Linked DNA regions of Drosophila melanogaster. The protein of the gene in region 2 interacts with the protein of the main gene of each other region in a pairwise test. Each region holds a gene or a part of one and is shown on either strand. Other genes may lie near its edges.

Evidence for each region.
Region 1: the proteins of CG8768 (region 2) and CG5828 interact in a two-hybrid assay, tested with the Drosophila melanogaster proteins (one large-scale study listed by BioGRID).

What each region holds. Positions count from the first base shown.
Region 1 is NT_033779.5:5,091,858-5,096,597, reverse strand, and holds CG5828 (uncharacterized protein), read right to left. Parts: upstream 2,623-4,740; 5' UTR 2,493-2,622; coding exon 1,407-2,492; 3' UTR 688-1,406; downstream 1-687.
Region 2 is NT_033778.4:12,690,588-12,694,775, reverse strand, and holds CG8768 (uncharacterized protein), read left to right. Parts: upstream 1-2,085; 5' UTR 2,086-2,156; coding exon 2,157-2,193; intron 2,194-2,252; coding exon 2,253-2,695; intron 2,696-2,753; coding exon 2,754-2,984; intron 2,985-3,040; coding exon 3,041-3,238; 3' UTR 3,239-3,468; downstream 3,469-4,188. Other genes in the region: Obp49a (Odorant-binding protein 49a), read left to right, coding at 3,856-3,903, 3,960-4,166.

The DNA.
Region 1 (4,740 bases), on a different chromosome or scaffold from region 2:
AATCCCTGACTGTGCGCAAAGCAAAGTGGTTTAAGGAAAACTAAAAGAACCAAAACGACGCGAGTTTCAACTTGTCCCGTCTATCCTTTTTCCGCACGTCTATTTATTGTTTATCTATTGGGGATTTTTTAGCATTAATTTTCACACGACCGTCGAAAAACTGACAACTGCACAGCTGACAACTGAAAATTTGAAGTGATGAGCTCGTGTCACGCGCCCCCAACAGCTGATGTTAGCACTGCGCCACCTAACAGTGTCTGCGCTGGAAACCTCTCTGTTAACGCCACGCTGTTCAGATCTAAAAAGACCGTTACATTTATACGGATTTATTATTTTTGGAATTTTTGATGGTATTTCAATCATGAGTGATTTGTCAAGGAACCTTAAATGTCTACTAAATGCTTCATATTCCTTTAATTGATGTTTTTTTTTTACTTTGAGCACATTGAAAATACTTATTTGTTTGATTTCTATATTTCGTATTCATCAAGCAAGATAAGTAATTTTTAATGATTTTACGTTTCTTAATTTACTATCTTACATTAAAGCTTAAAAATATAGTTTATTTGCGTGTTAACCGCCTTAATAAAACTCTGAGCACATGATTAAAAGTTATCAATAAACGGAAACAAACAAACTGACCCACTACTCTATATTCGTTTTATGAACGGCAAATATTTGCAGGCAATTTTCCTCTTTTGTTTATTTTTGGATCTTAATGACATATTTTTTATTAATAGCTTCGCAAGTTTCTTATGCCTAAGTCTGTTGATCGATTTAATTTCGAATTTAGCTTAAGATCATGCATTTCCTGGTCTCGGCTTCGTTCGCTGCTGCTTATCAACCAGTTATTACGATGACTTTGTTGTTTTATTTCGACCACGAATCGAGAGATAAATGAGATAGTCAGTCCGTAGGAATGAGCACGCACCGCAGACCGCAAACAAAATAGACAGACTCTATGTAAATCAAGCAGACAGCAGACAAGTTTTATGGTGGGAAATTGCTGGGTGAGCCGTCCGTGCTGATGAAATGCCCGTTGGAAGCGAACGGTGGACGTTATCGGGGCGTAATCCACACCATTCGGTGCTTATCAAAATTGCAGTCCATATAACCATGACCGATAATAAACCGCCGTCATGATAAACAAAAGGCTTTGTTATTATATATTCTTGTTTTTAATTATTAAAAGTTTTTTTGCGGTTATATGGGTGGGGTGACCACGAAAGCACTTGCATTAAGATTACATTTATACACATATGAATCTCATCGGTAGATTGAGGGATGGGATTGTTTAGGGGGTTGTGGGTTTTGGGTGGCGGTAACAATGATTTCAAACTGAACAAGGACCGGGGATATCGTTTGTTTGTCAACAAGGGATAACAATGAACGTAGTGGCTCCTGGACTAGCTGGGCGCAGCCGGTTCGAACTTGCAGACGACGGCGAACATATCCTCGCCGCCCAGGTACTTGGCCAGCCATTTGTTTTTTATCACGGCCAACTTGAGGGTCTCGCAGCCGAAGCGGGCATTCAGATTTGTGTGCAGGGCGCGTCCCATGCCCTCAATCACAAGCAGGTCAGTCTCATTGGCGGCGATGGCGTCGCACAGCTCCTTGGGGAGAGTGCGCATATCCAGGCAGGGACCAGTCTGTCCATTTGCATAGACCAGTAGTTGTCCCTTTGACCAGGCCTGCTCCAGGACCTCACACTCGCGCGAGCAGTCGTCCAGCAAGGATTTCAGCTCCTCGCTGGTCACATCATTTAGAGCAGGTTCACTGTTGGCGCAGAGCAGCACCTTGGTGCCACGTTTCAGCAGTCCACGGACAAAGGGAAGCACACCCAGAACCACATCCACGCCGCTGTTGTCCACAAAGACCACGGCGCACTTGTGTGGCTCGCCCTTGAGGCGATTCAACCAGCTGTCCAGGTTGTCAAGCAACCAGGGTCGCTTCTCAATGCGATCCAGGGCTGAATGAAGTCCGAAATTGCTGTCCTGCTCCAGTATGTTAGATATGGCCTGTGCGCCCCAGTCAAACATGTTGCCGGCGAGGACACCGCGTACCAGCTCCGTCCACCTTGTGTCCTCATCCGCCAGGGCATCCAATTCCTGCAGACGCTGCTTCAGGCGGGCAACAGCCGATGCATTTTCCAGCCTCTTTTGTCTCAGCCAGGGATCTGTAAATCCGTAGCGGCGCAACAGGGTTTCGTTTAGCTTGAGAAGCTCACTGGTGCCTAGAATCACCTTGCCCTTGTTGACTGGCACATTACGCTGGTGCTCCTCCAGCCGCTGCAGATACGCCGCCTGGAACTGCTCCGCCCGCTGGGTGGCCGTGTGATCCTCCTCCTGTGACTTGGCCGCCACCTTCGCGAACTTGGCCACCATGTCGCGGAAGCAGTTGAACCAGTAATCCGCCGCCTTTCCATCCGTGTTCAGGTCCAGGGTGTCCGGCTGATAGACAGCCGGATCCGGCAGCAAGCTGCTACTGTACATTGCGACGCGGATAGACGCGAGGCGTATGATTTTCAGCGCTGAATTAATCGCCGTTTTTCTAAGTTTTTCTTTTATTATGGCAGGTGTGACCAGGGGCATTGCACGCGAAGTTGATATGCAATCGATAACTAAATGTATTCCGTTTTGTGCAAGCCGATTACTCGCCGACTATCGTGCTTAATTATACCGTTAATTTCACAAACCTGATAAATGGGCGGGCAGTTCGAAAATACTACTTTGTACCAATCCCAAAATTTTATGTATATATAGAATATATATCAAAATAAATTTTTTTTGTTTTTTTATATTGCCCTTCCATTTACAATTTATTTTTAAAAATTTCTAATAATATTAAAGTAGGATTTAGAATAGTTAATTCAACTGATTCAATTCAATTAATCCACTAAAAAACAGCATTAAAAATAATTTTAAGCTATTGTTTTTGAACAGTCTTATTGCAACTATCGATAACATTAGTCCCTCCGCACTTTTATTTTCCAGCACACCTCAGCTGGGCACTCTAAAAACCTGAAAAATCTATTTAAGCAACCCGCAACGCTCTCTTCTTCGTAATTTTTTGCTCCGATACGAGGATATGTCGCGTCGCGCATGAATTAATTATTAATCAAAAGAGAGTTAACAGTGCTTGTGCAGTGCAAGTGTGAGTAGTTTGGTGCAATTTTTTGCGGATAAAAAATCAAATTTAAAACACCCACACGGCCAAGCAGTTGCATACGTGTGCACTTGATACGCACACATAAACACACTCACACACGCACACACAGCCGCGCGTACGCAACAGAGAGTTGGAGTGGTAGTAGTGGAAAGTGCAGCAGGCGCGGTCCATAATACACACATATGTATGTAAGTAATTCGGGCATACGGACGTGTAAATAAACCGGGTCGCCCACAATTTAGGGACGTTACTACGCCCTCCGCCGGAATCGAAATCGGAATCGCGGCAAACGTGTTCAATTTCCGAATCTCCCCTCGCTCCATCCATCTCTTTCGCTCTCTTGCGGTGCGTACGATTCTGTGTGTGTGTGTTTAGTTAGTGAGCGGCCTGCCGTGTGTGTGTGTGTGTGTCTGTTTTTGTTGGTCACTTTAATTCGCCACATACACACACTATCAAACAGAAAGAGGAAAAAATTCGCGTTAATCCTGCAACGTTTCTGTTGTTTTCTTCCCACATCCTTTCATCCAGCAGCTTCCAGAGAGATTTTCCCTTTGGGTAAGCGATTTCCAGCGAGACTTTTCATCTGTTTCCATTTGTATTTCCCCCAATGCACTTACTTATTGGACTCTTAATGCCAGTGCGTTCGTGAACTTGATTCTGATTGGAGGTCGAGCCAATTAAACCGGTTCGTGTAAATAAAATCCGCTAAAGATTCGTCTTCTTGGTTTTCTGGTTAAATGCAGTTCTCCTGGTCAATACTCGTTAAATTACCTAGTTTTCAATAGGGTATCTAGTATTTGGGGAGGATTTTCAATCTTATAGTAAGCGTAAATAAATACATTTCTTCTTATCAGAAGCAACAGTTATTCTTAAAAGATTTTGTCTTTTTCAAGATTTTTTGAATTAAATCATTAAATTTTGATTTTAAATAGTTAGAAACTCATAATACTCTTATAATTACCGGAAATCTTCTGATGGACTCAGATAACTATGTCTACTTAGAATGTTTTCCTTATTTTTTCTGCTCCCATTTAAGCATTGCAAATGCATTTCTTTTTATCAATCGCACTGTGGAACCGAATGCATTAAGGTCGCCGCTTTCCACCTGCAATTAAGGCCCAAAGCTAATGACTAAATGACAATGGGCCACGTACTTATCGGCCGCACTGTAATGATGATAGTGACCGCCGGATCGGCGGAAAATAATGCTCACTTGGGTCGTGACTTCTCGTTGGGTAAATCCAATGCCTAGAAGACACAAAAAGTAAAAACACTGATTGTGGGAAAGATTTCGCGGAAGCAGTTCCTACAAATTTTACTGATTGACAAAATTGGTTGCTTGTTATGGCTGAATGCTTTGCGATATTACTTAATGGGCCTTATCTATACGATTACTTCATAGTTGTCGCCAAAACTAAAACGTGATTGATAGTATTAAATCTTTTGAAACATTTTTCTGGACTAAATAAAGATAAAATTGCGAAAAATATTTGTCGGAAGTGCCAGACTTGTATTTATTTAGCTTTCTTGCGGATTTCAGTTGAATCTAAGTAGCCTTATCTACTAAATGAA
Region 2 (4,188 bases):
GAATTAAGTTTTATGCTGTGCCACCGAGGTGACCAACTGTCAGACCCGGCTAATCCGACCCGATCCGCTCCTCATGCCCAGTCCCGATCGACAGCAGTGGCCAGTCCCCAATCCCCGCCAGACAACCGCAAGGCGGCAAAGGAGCGACACAAACCGCACATAAAACTGTCACGGAGTGTGTTGCGGTGTGTCAATGGCCAGCGAGATGTGGATTCCGATCCATGGCAGCACCACCACCCACGTGCAACACAAATCACTCCGGTGGGTGAATGTGGATGGGTGCATTTGGATGCATATTCGGATATTCGTCCATGTTTGTGCCATTGACTTTGCAACTTTGTTGCGGCTCTCTTGCTCTGTCTGTTGCTCTGTTTGTCTGTTTGCCAATAAAACAAACAAAGAAGTTTGTCCCCCAAACCGGCAGTGTGCGAAAGATACAAAGATACCAGCTGGGTATCCGTATCTGTGTATCTACATACATTTGCACCGGAAGTGCAACTCAAACAGCGAGACACGAGACAACTTTTTGCTGCAGATCCTTTCCATCAACGTTTCCATATTTTCCTTTTGTCTAGAAAGTTTTCCCACTCAGCTCCACTCCTGTTTTTATCACTGACAAGTGTCAGAAGCAAAAGAGCCATGGAAATTAAAGTTCCATTGGCGGAACCCATCAGACCACGTTCGACAATCGATGATGAGTGTCATTGGAACATGGTAAGAACCTAAAGAACCACATTTAATGAATATGCCATAGTTTTTAAGGAAGTTAAAGGTAATAGATACATTACATACTCAGATGAAATTAAGCATACAAACACCAATTACCTCTTTGTAGAAGTCTTTAAAAATCACATCCCTTAGTTAACCACACTTGAAGTGGTAATTATATCAACATTCCAGTGCGCAGACAGTAATATATATTTAGTTATATTTAGTTTTTTTTTCCCCCTAAACTACTGTGCACGCTCGTTGGCCGTTATTCAACTGGCTGTACGTGATTACTGCCTGATTGCAGGACTAGATAAAAGCAGCAGACCTCGTAATTATGGCCTCAGATCCTTTTTACGCCGCCATCACTGCGCCTTTCTCACTCAATGAAGCGCAATAATTGAGGAGCTTAATGCAAATTCCTAGCCCAAAAGGGCAGCCACGCCCACTAAGCTGAAGTTGTGGGCGCGGGCGGAGAAAGTGGTGGTCGGTTAATGCAAGAGCCGGCACAGTGTATGCAAATGAGTTTCCAATGACTTGCCACAACGAAAGCAAGGCAAAAACAAAACAAAACGGCACGCAGCAAAGCGAAGGATATGACGTTGTGTCGCCTGCTGCACTTGAACTTGCCCATTAACTTGGCCCCATGCGTCTGCCCCATGTCTGCCAATATGCACTAAATATATATATATATATATATATATGTACATCCAGGCGTACATATCTAGAGATACAAGTGAGTCCCGCTGGCGGAGTGAAAGCGTCATAGCCACTTGTATTATACTTGGCTTAAGGCATTTTATGCGAAACTTGCGCTTTATTGGGTTCTCCTTTTAACGCTCAACTTAAAGCGATAAGCGAATTGCAATTTAGGTTCAGTGTCTGCCCTCTATTTCCCCTATCGGTGCACTTAAATGCTGTGCGGGAGTGACACTAAAAGCCTCTCCAGTCGGAAGACCAGCAGGCGGCATTGCACATTTACGATACTAAATCACTTAAGCCCGTTTTTGATTAGCTTTATTTCAAGGAATATGGAAAAACATTCAAGGCTTCCTATATAATATAATATATTTACTTGACCGTTTAACATGTTGGAAAACTCGTTTTTACATTGTGAAGATCCTTTAAAGGCCTTCAAACATTCGAATAGGCTTTAATAGGCAGCAGTCCACTTTAAGCGAGTAAGCATTTTCCTACCATCACATACCTGGATCACGAACCAACTACCCGAAACTTTATTTTTATGTTAAGTCGCTTAAAAAATTGCAAGTTGGATATATGCTAGTCTTTCGAAATTTAAATTTTCGCGCCTAGCTAAAAAAGAAGTGGCAGCACACAGTTGTAACTTGGAGAGTTGGCATCCTCCGCACATCAGCTGTGATTTGTTTACATTACGTTTTGCTAAGTGTCGTAATTCGGGAAAAGTCGCCAATTTGGAGCAACCTCTTATGATTATTCCAAAAATGTCGAGGCATGCTCTGATAGGTACGTTCAAAGGTGTTAGCCATCGGGCGCAGCCACCAATAACCAGGAATCTCGCTCAGGTGGTGGCACTGGCTTCATCGGTCGCAACCTGGCTAACCATTTGACCAAAAAGGGTTACGATGTGACGGTGATCTCCCGCATGCCAGGTGCGAAGCGTATCACCTGGCACGAGCTGGAGAAGAATGGTATTCCCGGATCCGTAAACGCCGTGGTAAATGCCACGGGCCAGAACACATTGGATCCAACGAGACGCTGGACTCCAGGATTCCAGCAGAATGTGTGGAACTCGCGAATCAACTCCTCAAAAACTTTGGCTCAGGCTATTAAGTCGGCTCCCCAGGTCTCATCTTTCGTGAATCTATGCGGTGTGAGTCACTATAAACCCTCGGAGTCCAAGGTTTACACCGAGGAGGATCAGGTGCAAGGATTCGACTACATGTCCAGGTTGTGCTTGGCCTGGGAGGAGGCTGCACACACTGGTAGTGAGCAGGATTGTAAAACCGTAAGTCAATACTATAGAGCATCTACAATAGGTATAAAAACCGCTTAATCCTTTTCAGACCATCCTGCGGTGTGGCGCTGTTGTGGGTCATGGCGGGGGCATGGTTCAGTCCATGTGGCTGCCCTTTAAGTTTGGCGTAGGAGGACCATTGGGTAATGGAAACCAAATAATGCCATGGATACACCTGCACGATCTGTGCAGCTTGATACAGTACATCATAGAGAAACCAGTGCCAGGAGTGGTCAATGCGGTGGCCCCAGAAATAACCAGCAATTTGGAGTTTAGCAAAGTAAAAATATCACAGCTTCTTAATACAAACACTATAATATCTTACGTTTTTGTCAGGCCTTTGCCAAAGCACTTCATCGCCCGTGTATCTTCGGCGTTCCAGAGTTTGTTGTCCAAGCCATCTTTGGACCAGAGCGGGCAGCTCTGGTTTTAAGTGGTGCCAAGGTCAAGCCACAGAAAGCTCTATCATCCGGATTTAAATTTCAATATCCCAGCGTCAAAGAGGCTGTGACGCAACTGACCCTCAAAGGATAACCGAATCTACACTGAATTCTGGTTACACGTATGCTTTATTATAAAGCAGTCTGTATATTAAATAGATGTTAGTACCAAGCGCAAATTAAAACGAATTTCTGCGATAGGGGGATTTATGAATCACGCCCTCCGAAAATAGACCCATTTAATTTGTTTACTCATTAGTCTTGTCCACCAGTATTTCATCATTATTTTGGTACCACATTAAATGTAATCATTGACTTAATTCGATTTATAAAACGTGTATAAACTTTAATTGCCTGAAGGGGAATCTTTTGCGAAACCAACATGTAATCTTGTACTGTAAGCTAAATAAAAGCGTGTAGATACAAGGGGATTTCACAAGAATTATTCAACGTGTGCGAAAGGTAGATAAAGAGATAAATCCGATCCCTTTTGCTGCGTTACTTGCCAATTAATATAATTGCAACCAAAGCTAAATTAATAGCAAAAAAAATTAATTGACTTGCACACGCTGTGAATACGCTATAAAAACCGACATAATCATAATCATACATCAATGGCTGATATTTTTTTTACCTCTCGGTGGGTTCTATAAATTGGGGACCCATGTCGGTTGGAGAATCAGTATCGTTTTTTGAGCTGCCGAACCAAAAATGCTTTCAAAATCGCAGCTATTACTGCTCGTTGTCGGGTTCTGCCTGGTATGATGATGTGTTATCACGCGACTCTAGCCCGGCTATAACTAATCTATTAACAGAATGCAGCCGTCTCGGCTGACGTGGACTGCAGCAAGCGGCCATCGTTTGTCAATCCCAAAACCTGTTGTCCAATGCCGGACTTCGTGACCGCCGAGTTGAAGCAAAAGTGCATCAAGTTTGACATGACTCCGCCGCCGCCGCCGGATGGGGAAGCAAGTGGATCCTTTGAGAGCAAGCGTCGTCATCATCATCCGCATCCCCCACCAGTTAGTACCACTGGAATATTGT